Linked DNA regions of Schizosaccharomyces pombe. The protein of the gene in region 2 interacts with the protein of the main gene of each other region in a pairwise test. Each region holds a gene or a part of one and is shown on either strand. Other genes may lie near its edges.

Evidence for each region. Proteins that work in one complex are often made in the same cells at the same time.
Region 1: the proteins of apc13 (region 2) and apc15 interact in binary tests that used the Schizosaccharomyces pombe proteins (3 or more experiments, as listed by UniProt).

What each region holds. Positions count from the first base shown.
Region 1 is NC_003423.3:1,514,837-1,520,560, forward strand, and holds apc15 (anaphase-promoting complex platform subcomplex scaffold subunit Apc15), read left to right. Parts: upstream 1-1,859; 5' UTR 1,860-1,890; coding exon 1,891-1,998; exon of another isoform or gene 1,999-2,065; coding exon 2,066-2,368; 3' UTR 2,369-2,738; downstream 2,739-5,724. Other genes in the region: tas3 (RITS complex subunit 3), read right to left, coding at 1-1,292; RNA-binding protein Yme2, read left to right, coding at 2,832-5,153; rtc6 (mitochondrial 54S ribosomal protein bL36m), read right to left, coding at 5,376-5,654. UniProt on the Schizosaccharomyces pombe protein: Component of the anaphase promoting complex/cyclosome (APC/C), a cell cycle-regulated E3 ubiquitin-protein ligase complex that controls progression through mitosis and the G1 phase of the cell cycle.
Region 2 is NC_003423.3:1,831,526-1,839,342, reverse strand, and holds apc13 (anaphase-promoting complex TPR lobe accessory factor Apc13), read left to right. Parts: upstream 1-3,987; 5' UTR 3,988-4,047; coding exon 4,048-4,455; downstream 4,456-7,817. Other genes in the region: SPOM_SPBC28E12.02 (BICC1 family RNA-binding protein), read right to left, coding at 1,025-3,016; SPOM_SPBC9B6.11C (CCR4/nocturin family endoribonuclease), read left to right, coding at 4,539-4,764, 4,894-6,176; Hsp90 co-chaperone Cdc37, read right to left, coding at 6,323-7,662, 7,705-7,715. UniProt on the Schizosaccharomyces pombe protein: Component of the anaphase promoting complex/cyclosome (APC/C), a cell cycle-regulated E3 ubiquitin-protein ligase complex that controls progression through mitosis and the G1 phase of the cell cycle.

The sequences.
Region 1 (5,724 bases), 320 kb from region 2:
AAGGAAGCTAGCGGGTTATGTGAATCAGAAGCGTTAAGCTTTTTAGTTGGTAGCTCATTTTCTCTGGATTCACGTTGACGATCAGAGGCTTTTCTTTTACGCGACGAACCTTGCATATTAAAATCATTGGCATTCCCTAAATGAAAATGGGCTCCATGGTCTGATAAATGAGTGCGATCTTCAAAATTTTGGTTGTATACATACGAAGATTTCTCCAAATGCTTACTTCGAGGCCCTGTATCTCTATTATCGTAATGTTCTCGTTTGGACCTATATGAATCTGAACGACTATCTGGATGGTAAGAATCATATCGTCGATGATGATTCGATGATCTTGAAACCTGAGTGTTTTTCGGTTTGTCGTAATCCTCTTGTTGTGAAGGCCTATTGAAATTGTCAAGATTTATACTCTCCGCCCATTCGTTTTTGTAATGTTTTGTATCATCTGTAGAGCTCCAAGAACCATTAGTTTCGCCCCAACCATCATCCAGGTTTCCCCATGAAGCTTCAGGATCATCGGGGGCAAACCAAGAGGATTTTGCTTGATACTTCGGACGAAATTGTGGATCGCTATTCGAATCAAGCTCCATAAACATCGACGTATCGGTATGATCAAGAGACTTAGAAGATTCACGAAATCCAGTAGAATTATCATCCCAGCCAACAGACTTAGAGTCAGAACTGCGAATATCATTTTCACGAAGTGAAATGCTTTCATGCAGTCTAGAAGATGACTCTATTATTGAATCAGAAGTAGAGTTGTCCCACGATTCAATCTCCATGCTTCCTGAGCTTTTATCTAAAAACTTGTTTCTGCTTTTCCGATGTTTGCTTTTTTTCGTTTCTATAGGTTTTTCAAATTCAGTAACGGAGTTCTTTCTTAGTTGTTTCGACTTCACTGGCTTCTCCTTTCCATCCGTAACGAGTGGAAACTCAACATTAGATGATGTGTATTTTTTTGAAGCTCTTACCTCCTTTGTGACTCCAGAGGAAGTATGGGTTGCCTTTGCTTTAGCAGGACTGTTCTTAAGTTGCTGTGGGAAGTCAACAGCAGCCAGCAATTTCCTCTGCGATAGCATTTCAGAGCGGCAGTAAACTGCTTCTTCAGCTAGTTCCTGCCTTTTTTCTCTCCTATTTTTTAGATTAGAAAGCCAATGTTCAGTGAATAATTCGTGAACTCGCTCTAGCGAAACAGTTGCTGATCGCCGAGATGTTCCATGATTTTCGGGAAAGTCTGAAATACAAGCTAAAAACGGTAAACTTGGAAGATATTTTTTGATTCCTTTCTCCATTAAAATCGTAGCTCAAATAGGATCAAAAGCTCTCATTAAATTATAGTGGTTAGGAGTAAGTTAAGAAGTTTGATGAGTATGTGTAACATTAGATAGTAAGGATATTAATCGAGATACATACAGGTATCTTTTTTCTGAAATTTTGTATTTGCAAATAATTGAATCCTAAAAAACCCAATTTAAAGTACACCTACGTGAAATTGAAAAGAGTAGCCAGTTTCAATTACTTAAATGCTGAAACTTGAACATGAAACGTTACGGAACATAAGTATTTCTTATCCCTTGACCTCTTCATTAAAGGAAAATAAGCATTTTGATACTCTTAGTTAATAATCTTGTTCAAGCGTTGCAATAAACATTTCAAATCAGTCAAAAATAAGAGGAGAAATAAGTTCAACAGCTTTTGTTAATTAATACGTGAACCAAAAATTAACACGAAAGTTAATTTTGTGGCTTCTCAGCATTGCTTTGTGTTTACATTTTTTGTTTATTGTACAGAACTGGGTTAGTAAATAACCCAGTCACCATAGTAACGCCTTTAGTCTTACAATACACCAGCTGATTCTTGAATACCAATATTTATTTGCAGCATAAAATCATGTCGTTTATGTCGTTGATGGCTAATACAGCCCATCAACTATGGTATCCTACGTCTTTTCCTTCTATGAAAGAATTGGAAAAGGAAGAAGTTAGACTGGAGACTCAGGTATGTTTGTTTACGATTTTCAACGAGTTTCTGTGCATGAGAAAAGTCTAACTTGAACGAATCTTAGGAGCTTGCAATTAAACAGTTTGGATTTCGCACTATTCGGCCCATTGGATTAAATAGGTCTATGCAAGAGCAGCTTGATTTGGAAGAGCAAGAGCGCGAAGAGGCTAATCAAGACACTGAGTTGGATGAAGAAGAATTGGGAAGTGGGAGCTTTCCTGAAGAAGGCGAAATGGACGATATGGATGGTGATAATGAAGAAGTAGAAGATCACGATATTGAAGAAGTCGACTTGGATGCTGATATCACAAATGCTGACGCCTCTGAATTTTACGAAGATATAAGTGAATACGGATTTCAAAATTAAGGCTTTAAAAATAATAATATCGAATCAACCATGATTGCTAAAGCTATGCTGCTGCATTACCCGATTGAAAAATGTATGTACAATCGAATTTATTCCCATAATTGTTTACGAAAAAAGAACTTGAAGATAATAACTGGATACACAACCTATGCATGCTAAAAGGCTATCAACTCTTTATGATTCAAATGACCCATTTGATTCTACTGTTTTGAATTTATTTAACGATGTCTAAATTTACAATGCTAATTTTATTTAGCATTTTTAAGCAATGTTCTTAAACCACTAGCCTTTTACATCATTGACAGATCCCATTTGGAATCCTGACTTACTGTTAACCGTATAACTTAAATAATCATTTTCTTGGCTGTTCGTTTTTGGTGTTTGAATATTCATATTGGAGTGCAACAAACCGTTGTGTATTTCTTAGACATCGTTGAAACTAATTTAAAGCCTACCCGAAACTATGAATTTGTTTCTATCTCGGTTCACGGGGTTACGAAATACTTCATTTTTGGGTCATGCACGACCGTTTATGTTTCCACGTCGCTATGCTCATTCTTTAGTGGCACATAATATTGGTCATATCAAGCTAGATCCAAATGAAGGTCTTTTCTTCGTGGATAATCTCGTCAATACTCCAACCTATTTCTACATTCAGCGATACACTGCGTTGCTCTTTCAGAACAACTTGAAAAAGCAGCTAAGTGCTGCTTTTCCAAGCTCTGATACAATGCAGTTGGAAGATATCATATTCAGATGGCAAGATGGAGGAGCATTTTTAAAAGTACGTTACAAGGAATTCCCACAAGATACAGAAGCGGTTTCAGAACACGTCCGTGAATCATTTCGAAAGCGTCCAGTTCGAACAATTTTACACCCTTTCTCTACCCCGATTCCACACATGGTACATGGTATTCCTTGGCTTCAAGATTTATATATATTTCCATCTCGTACAGTAGATGTGAATTTCGAAGGTCCGCCCCTTTCCCAGGAAAGATTGTATAGTATTTTTAGGACATATGGAAAACTAAGATCCGTGACCATTAATTCACCTACTTCTGCTACTTTGAGTTTTTCATCGCTAAGGTCCGCTACGTCAGCTTTAAACTGTATGCATGGTTTTGTTTATGGGAAAACAGAATTCCACATGCGATACAGACATATGAACCGCTTTGTCGCCTTCAAAGACTGGTTATTCTCTCATCCTCGTTTTACTATTCCTTTGGTTGCGGCGGCTATTACAGTTTTAACGGCTTCTTTATTCGATCCGATAAGAAAGTTCTTTGTCGAGACAAACATTGTACATGGTCAGAAGTTGAGAAATATCAATGTTGTTGGGTGGGTCAAAAAGAAAACTCGCGATATAGTTTTGAGTCCCTTTCACGAAAATGGTACAAATATAAAGGCACCGATTTGGACAACACGTGAAAAGGATTGTGAACAGTTGAAAGAATGGTTGGATGAAGCATTACATTCTTTTATTGTTGTTCAAGGTCCTCGTGGTAGTGGTAAGCGTGATCTGGTAGATCGAGTTGTTAAAGAACGAAAAAATGTTTTGTTTTTCGACTGTGATCGCTTATTCTCCACTACTAATACGGAAATGTTCGTAAGTACTCTTGCTAGCCAAACGGGGTATTTCCCCCTCTTTAGCTTCCTAAACAACATATCGTCACTTATCGATATGGCTGCACAAGGTCTCATAGGACAAAAAACGGGAATTGTTTCTTCTAGTGAAGGACAAGTGCGGCAAATTCTTAACACAACACAAACGGTATTGCGTTCTCTAGCATTACGAGAGCATAAAGAAGCCGATACTAGTGTGTTGGATGAATCTGAGTTTTTAGAAGTTCATGCAGATCGCTTACCTGTTGTTATTCTCGACAATTTCCAGCTTCGTAAATTATCAAACCCGATGCAGAGAGTGGTTGCTGAATGGGCTGGTAATTTGGTAAAGGAAGGAATTGCTCATGTACTAATGCTAACACCCGATGTTGGAGGCACCAAGTCATTAGAGCAATATGTCAACGGTTGGGAAAATAGAACATTGTTATTAGGAGATGCTGACCCTGTACTTGCTCAGCGATATGTCATAGAGTCTTTACCCGAAGAGATGCAAACAGAAGAATTGAGGAAAGAATTGCGGGTCCAATTACCGAAGATTGGTGGCCGACTTCGTGATCTTGATTATGTAGCTCGTAGGTTGCGGGTTAATTCTTCCAGTGTTTCTGAAGCAATTGGCGGTATTGTAAGTCAAAATGCCTCTGATATTTTGCAAACATTTTTACGGCCTGCTTCTTTAACCAGTGAGGAGAAGCCAACGTTCACTCCAGAAGAGTCATGGACCTTAATTACTTATTTATCTCAACATGAATATATACCCTATCATATGTTGATGCTTGACCCACTGTTCAAAGGACACGACGATGCCGTTCGTGCCTTGGAAGAATCAGAATTGATTACTATTACCACAGTGAATGCAAGACCGGATAAAGTCTACGCTGGAAAACCTGTATATGTTACGGCTTTCCGGCAACTTGTAAATGATCCAGTATTAAGTGCTAATATGCAGTTGGTGAGATGTAACGCGTTAATTGGCATGGCTAACAATGCTATCAAGAATGATGAACAGGAGCTACAAATGCTAAAGGACCTTGGGAACCTTGAATCAGGTGTGAAGGATCGTGCTCATTACTTAACGACGCGTATCCAGAAAAATCAAGGTGTTATTACTGATAATGAGAAAAGTATAGAAAGGCTTACTGAGGCTTTGAAAAAAATCGACTAAGATGCGAAAGCATATCATTTAAGATTACGTATGTTTTTATGAATTCTTTAGCATGAAGCTATAATGTCAACAATAATATCACATTTAATGACTACGCATTAACGAGAGAGAAGGGAGTAAGGATTTGGTAGGTAGTCCAAAAATCGTCGTAATATGAAGTGAGCGTAATGAAGAATTAGCCTAGGTAGAAAAAAAAAGAAGAAGCGAAACCGGTTATAGTCATTAACCTTGACGGGTTTTATGTCTCGGATGTTTTTTGCATAGTACATACAACCTACCTTTGCGACGCACAAAATAGCAGGATGAACAACGCTTTTTTACTGATGCTTTCACTTTGAAACCTCTTGAAAAGTTCCAAGGTAGAAGGCTAGGAGAAAGTCTGAAAGCAGGGGTTAAGAACATAGATGCATTTTTTAACAACCCTTTTTGTGCATTAAAAGCAGAAGGGAAGACTCGTGACAAAACACCCACAGCAAAAAATTTACGACCTAATGAAGCCATTATAAGTTAAAAAAAAAGTGAAACTGGGACTTCAAGTCAAGATGTTTAAATTTTTTTGGATCCGAAGTAA
Region 2 (7,817 bases):
CTTTGCAGCGAATAAACCACCAGGTTTCGATCTAGCTATTATTAATATTTGCTTATTTTCCAGATTCTTTCTATATCGTTTCCTTATGTTTCATACTTTGTGTAAGTGATGGTTGCTTCCTTCATATTATTTTGAGATTTTGAAACATTTAAAATGATATTGCTTATACAAATTTATCGAGATTTATTGTACGACTAAAAATGAACTATACAACATTCCCCCTGTTCATCTTTCGTTAGTGTTATTAGCAATCCTGTCAGCGAGAACGAAGTATTGCTCGACTCTTGAGAAAAAATAAGAGTGGCTTGTTTCTGTGCTACTTGATTAGTTCGTTCAGTTAAGCGTAATATAATTTGTATAAAAAAAACCGAAGAAACCCAATAACCGCAAAGGGTGCATTACGGTTCACACGTCTTTTTTTATAGTCGAACGACGTCTTTATGTTTAACAACTCTTGTGTAATCCCTTTTTGTTTCTTTAATTTACTAATTTAATCATCATGCATTCCAAAGAAAGTGGATGGATTAACTCAATATCGTTTTCTCATCAAATACGATTCTAATTAACTGGTCAAAGAGTGTTAGATGTCACAGCGTATAGCAAGTTGATTAATAACGGTTAGTGCCAGTTTCTACTTCTTTTTACTGAAAAGATGTTTGTTGTTATTATATCAATCTAGCTGTGTTTATCGACGTTTTATCTTTTGTTTTCAATGACAATTTATTAACAAAATAAGAAATAAAAAAGGCATACGAACAGTGGTTGCCGTCCTGCACAAATCGTTGAACTGCTTAAAGTTTAAACTTGTCATGTGCTTCAAAATTCTGCGTGGATCACGTTCATTAAATTATATTGTGCACTTAAGATGTGTATCAAAGTTGATACAGTGGAGCACTTTTGATTTTCAAAAAATTTAGTTTCCGAATTTAATAACCAGCTTGAGTGTCTGTTATGGACATAAAAAATATAACGAGAAAGTGTGGTGATCTATGGGCAGGTCGATGACTGGATTCTGACTTAAAATTCAATTAGCAAACAAATACTTCGGGATGTCGTATCCTAATCCTTCAGCTGTCTTAATGAATAAAGATCGGACGGCCCACAAATTTTCGGAGAACTTTGATGGTGTGCGAATGAGCACGTTGTGCCCGTAACAGTCAAAAGGAGTAGTTGAGAATTCAATGTAACTATTATAAAGTTTAGTTACACGTTGGATTTGCTCTCCTCGAAATCCAATGAGTTTTTTGTGAATCTCCTCTGGAACGTAAAAGTGCATCTCAGCTGGAAATTCAAGCAACATTGTGTTCATTCCTTTAATTACTCTTTCCAATTCGTCACTATATATATCAACCGTGAATATACTCGTCGACTGGGGACAAAACAAGATGTCCCCATTCTTTAAGTTGAAACGGCATTGCTGCTTTACCTTATCCAGTTTTCCATTTTTTTTACCGGATATGAAATCTTGATCCTTGGTTGGGGCTTCAAGCAGTATCTGGTGCCATTGGGATTGTCCAAATTTATAAAATATTTTGCTTGCTTTATCCATTGCTATAGGCACGGTGTTTTCTTGTCCGAAATATTCAATCCCATTGGTTTTTAGGAGCATTTCGACTCCAGAAGCCATGCAAATTATTGCAATTTGAGCTACAAATTCTGTTGGTGGAATACTTAGCTTCTTAAGAGGAGAGAATGACATTTTTTCTCCTATTCCATTTGTTTCCACTATGGAGCCAGTCGAGGATACAATAGAGGACAATTCAGAGCTTGAAACTCCTTTTTCAATTGTAGACGCTCTTCTCCAAGAACCAGCAACTCTCAGAAAGTCTTCGTTGTCTTCAACTCCAAACTGAGTTTTTCCTTGTACATATTTACTTGCAAGCTTTGCCAATCGGAGTGCTGTTTTTTCAGAATTCGCTATAGAAGATGAGTAGATTTTGACTTTTGAATTTTCTGGGCTCGTTTCTCCTCCTTCTTTGAAATACTCAGGAAAGCGAATAAACGAAGAATTTTCTTCCATAATAAGCCGAAGCTCATCCATTTCGTAAGCGAGAAATTCGAAAAGCTTAACAAATGAAATTTCTGTTACGTGAGTAAACAGTTTTAGATGTTCTTCTGCGTAATAAAACGCCTCTTCGAGTCTTTGCAATTTTTCCTCTTCTCCTGTAATAATTATTTTACTTGAGTTTAAGGCGGGTAAGGTTTGAAGCCGAGGGATTGAGTCGCTGCAAAACGGTAATGTATAAATATTAATTGATTCAGTAGCCTTCATTCCGGCAGTACTAGAAAATGCTTTTCCAACGAGAATTGGCTGAAAAGATACAGAAGTTGCAATAGCTACTACCGATAATCCTCTGATTTCATCCATTAATGCTAATACGCGAATTCTAGCATGTTCAACGCTGCAATAGTCACCATAAAAGACAATAAAAAAAGAATTCTCTGCGTTCTTTTGACATGAAAATTCATGCCTAGTAGACTCTAAATGCCTTTGGTAGAAGCTTTGTTGTTCATTTAATCGATTGCTGAATCCGCTGTCAGTACGTAGCTGAAAATCGATATCATGACACATGGAACGATGCATGATATAAATTTTTGCTCCCGTTATTTCCGTTATTTTGTCCAAATGTTTCATAGTGTCTTCATAAACGTACCCATCTTCATCAAAAAGGAGGTTTTCGAGGGGTTCTTCGAGCACAAGTTTGCTGATTAGAATTTTGGGAATGGCTTGCAAAATCTTTATTTTTGCAGTGTACACATTTTTATAATTTCCTGAAACAGTAACCACTAGTTCATTGCGGGAAGATGATATGCTCATTCCTTTATGTTTGACATGTAGTTTTATATTAACTGGCAACTCTTTTTCTGTCTCAATGCACTTTTCTTCGGTTAATCTCCTAATTTGAGAGTAAATATCGCTTTCATAATAGTCACATTTACTAGCATAAAGGGATGCCTCTTCGGGAGGAGGTGTAGATGGATCAGGAATTGGAAATGCTAAAACATGAGAATCCATTTTGGTGATTTTAAGCACAAAATTTTCTTATTGTTAAATCGTTTGATTGGAAATTTCGAAGCTTAGTGAAGAGTAAGTTTTTCGTGTTCGAAAGAAAGATTAAAAGAAATCCAAAGGAATGATAAACGATATAGGTTTGAATACAAAATTATTCCGAAAGTTACTTCTGAAGGGTTGGTTGTTGGTTGTGTTGTTGCTTCCGTGAAAGTTATTGTTTAGCTTCCAAATGTAAATAAACAATGAATAAATCTTGGAATTGATATGCGATTGGCAATGAATGATAGCTTAAACTTTAATTTTTTGCTGAAAAATAAACAGAACGTTTTCGCAGAACGATGTGTATTGTACTAGTTTGACTGTGGAATACAAGTTTGTTTATGCAAAGGTAGACACATATATATATACAGCACATGACTCTAAGGTGATGCACTAATGACTAGGAATACTTTTAACATAACCATCACAATTTTGTATTCTTTTTACTAATTAGGATGGCTGATTTATGATCTGCCAAAGCCTCTTTAACTCAAAACAGTATATGATTTGCCATTGACATTTTTTCAGAAAAGGGGGAATATGATTATATGATTGTGAAATATACGCTTAATTTTTCATTATAACTCTGTCAGTATTGCTAGGGTTTTGGACACAATCATAGCTTAAGTAAAACATTGCACTATTAGTGTCATTCTTTGAAATTTGTAAGCTAAGCAAGCACATATATTTACCTTATTTATCAAGAAAAATAACATGCCAATAGGAATAAATAGATTAAGAGACGAAGGTTTTGAGAAGAATAGTAGCAAACCACCTAACTGATTTTTATTTCTACTTAAAAGTTCATAGAATTATGTGAATAAGAAATTAATCTAGAATTCTTATAATTGATTTTCATGGAAAGATCTCCCTCCCCCCAACTAGTAGACTTTGCTGCTAAATGCTTTGTTTACACACTTACCACCGACTTCTCCAATAACACCAACCGTATAAAAGCACCATAAGTCTCCTACTTGGAATCAGTAAAACAATTAATGGATTCGAATTACAATTATGTTCATATGAATAAACCGGGAGTAGTTTTGTTTGCCTCGGATTGGCTAAAAGATAGACTTCCAGTTGACGATGTCGAAGTGCGAGTAGAACACTTACCACCTGTTACAGAAGATGAGATGACTATTCAACATTCTAGTGCAAATCTAATCTTAATGAAAAACAAACAGCTTAGGCATGAACCGGCTTGGAAAGATTTGGAACTCGAAGATTTAGTTAATGCCTTTGCATTCATTCAAGGCTCTTCAAATGCCGAGGGTAAAAATACAATTGAAGATAATTTTGAAACAGATCCTTTCAAATCAGTCAAAGAAGCTCCAATGGCTCCTTTTCTTGAAGCGAACAGAAGGCATCAAGGAGAGCACGCTAGTATGCGGTATTTTAGATGATATACCTGAGGTTGTACGAACCAACAGTCGTTAATCCATTTCGGCTGTGAAAACTTAAATAAAGTCTACTCAAAAGTCATTGTATGTACACTTGTCCTAAAACGTGTACATTGACTTTGAAGTTTTTTATCGATCGATTCCACACTGATTATAGATTATCCAAACTTGCTATATCATTCTTTGATCAGAAAAAGAACAAGATGGCAGATTCGATACCCGTTAAGAAAAAAGGCTCAGCTAAAGGCCCTCCTTCGTTCGTAACGCCTGAATACATAGAGAAACAACGCCAAAAAAAACTTGAGAAAATGGGTATGAAAAAAAATTTTCGTTCATCTAGTCGAGCAACAATAAGAAGGTTGTTGTGAAACTTTTTTTAAGACCGAATCTCTACTCCTTTGTTTAATTTTTTGTTGCTCAATTTTATTAACTGATTATTAGCTAAGAAGGCTGCTCGAAAACCTATTGCTCCACCAAGCAATGCTCCACCCGAATTCAATACGGACTTTATAAAGCGTGAAATGCTCTCCATCCCTAATTATGCACCGTTTGAAACTGAAAAGTCTGCATTGGATATTACTATTATGACTTACAACGTACTTGCTCAGACAAATATTCGTCGTTCAATGTTTCCACACAGTGGTGAGGCATTAAAATGGAAAAATCGCTCACGAATGCTCGCTAATGAATTAACCTATTATTCACCAACTTTGGGATGTATGCAAGAAGTTGATGCTGAATTTGTTCCTAATTTCTACAAGAAGTTATTAGGTGGATTGGGTTATGAATTGCATTTCATAAAAGGTGAAGGTAAAACTCATGGAATTATGATTTTTTGGAAATCCTCTTTGTTCAAAAAGGTGCAAGATTTGACTATTTATTACGATGATCATGATGAATTACCAGGTAGAATGAACACCAAGAACATCGGTTGTTGTGTACGCCTTGAAAGGGTAGATGACCCGAGCAGAGGGTTGTTCTTGGCTACTACACATTTATTTTGGCATCCTTACGGCTCTTACGAAAGGTTACGCCAAGGTGCAATATTGGTAAAGGAAGTAAACAAGATGGCACAAAGTCATCCTTCTTGGCCTGTTTTTATAGCTGGTGACTTCAACACTGAACCGTTCGATACCAACTTTCCTGCGCTAACTACCCGCCCTCTATCCATCTGCCAAAGGGCTACTGACATTATAGAACGTAGTATGAATTACGTATTTGGGGAATCTGAGTTGGAAGAAAAAAATGCTAGTACTAAGACAGAAAATGATTCCAATGAAGATGACAAAGAAGAATGTCAATCCTCTTCTACCTCAAGTGTTCCCGAATCCACAGCTTCTACCCCAAAAAAGAGAATTTTGCATGTACAAAATGACTATGTACCTCACTACCGTTCTTTTTATCAGCAGCACGAGCAAAATCCCGTACTTTTCAGTCTTTATTCAGTGGGCTATAAACTGGTTCACCCAGAAAATGCAAAAAATACGTTTGATCATCCAGCATTTACCAATTGGGCTCATGCTTACCAGGGCCATTTGGACTACATATTTGTTATGAATCGTGATACCTCACTTCAAACTCCCGAAAATCAAGTCGTTGAAGGTATAAAATTAAAGGCACTGTTACGTGTGCCTTTACCCAGTGAGATGAAGGAAGCGGAGCCTTTAGAAGGAAGATATCCCAGCGACCACGTTGCTTTGATGGCAAATGTACAAATTGTTTAAATACTTATTTTATTATACGGTACACACAAGGTATGGTAAATCAATAAATAAAATTTCATTGTTGTTTATCCATTTAAAAATGCCAACGGCAAACATGTAACTTTGGTGTTTTCGCTTACTAAAAGCACACCCGTAAGCAGAAAAATTTAAGACAATTGAGGAATAGTCTCACCTTTCGTTGTGTCGATGATTCCTTCTTCGATACTCAACATACCAGTACTGCTGAGCTTTTCCACAACTTCTTCTGCATTTTCAACTGCCATTTTTCCAAGAACTACATTAATCTTGTCTAAATCATTGGTCATAAGAGCTTTTTGGAGGTTAGGAGGAAAAGACTCAAAAGCTGCACGAGCTTTTTGTGTCTCTGGATCAGTAGAACCTGCCTCCGGGATGGTGATGGAAAGTTTCGTATTAGGATCAACTGCACAGAGCTGGATTTGTTCTACTCCTTCACCGCTTTCAGCTTGTTCTTTGCTGATGGCAGCAGAACGTTCATGGATTCGGACATATGTATTATGAACATCCTCTAAAAATAGCCGCTGAGATTGGTGATTTGGGTCTTTAATTTTTTGAAAAAATATTGATAAACCATTTGGTCCAAGCTGTCTGCAATAGCTGATCAAAAGGGCTTGATGAACATATTGTTTTGCTAAGGACGGCTTCCCTTCTAGTTCAGCATTAAAGGCTTCCAAAAGAATAGCATCAGATTCTTCCTCATCTGCCAAGATATTTAAATGTTCTTTCAAAAACTCTTCCGATGAAGAATAATCACCAAAATCAATATTGGCAAACTTCTTACCATCTTCAGAAAGAGACAACCCTTCTTCATCTTCCGACTCATTCTCATTGACAGGATTTTTAGGGGCATTACCAGTAGAAGCTTGCTCTTTAGCGCCGGGAAAATCAGTAGGAGGTGTAGGGTTATTAAGAGATTCAATGACCTGGATGGTCTCCTTTTTGGTTTTAGTCTTTTTAGGTTTTTCAGGCTCCTTTTTCTGAACATAGGTGGAATCAAAGCCCAAATGCAAGTCTTCAGAAGTGATGTAATTTTTACTCTCAGCCTCTAAAGTATCATACTCCTTTTGTGCATCTTCTAGCAACTTCAGAAGACGCTCTTTGTGTGACTTTAATCGTCTCAAGCATTTATCCGAATCATCCATAGATTTTTCTTCGGTAGTGTCTTCGGCATCTTTAATTACTTTTAATAAAGACATAAGCATATGATGATACGACATGCCTCCAGGAATGGCACTATCCATATCTTCAGACTTTTTTGCCTCTAAAAATGAACCCAATAAAACATAAGGATCCGAAGGAGATTCCTTCTCAAGAACAGTCTCCATTTCGGAGATGCGAGACAAGAGTCTACGATTCATCGCCATTGCACCTTTGATATCTTCCATTTTTTGCTTTCTAACAGCCCGTTTTTCGTGGATATCACGTTGGCGCCATCTAATAAAAGACTTTTTATCGACATTTGGATGAACTGCATGTGGTTAATTTAATATGAATACAACCCGTAACAAACCTTCAATGTCACTAAATGTTGTTAGCATGAATTTATCAAAACGAAAAATAAATGAAGAAGGAAAAGAAAGGAATGTTTTGACAATGGTTGTTTATTAGCTAAAAGAACCCAAT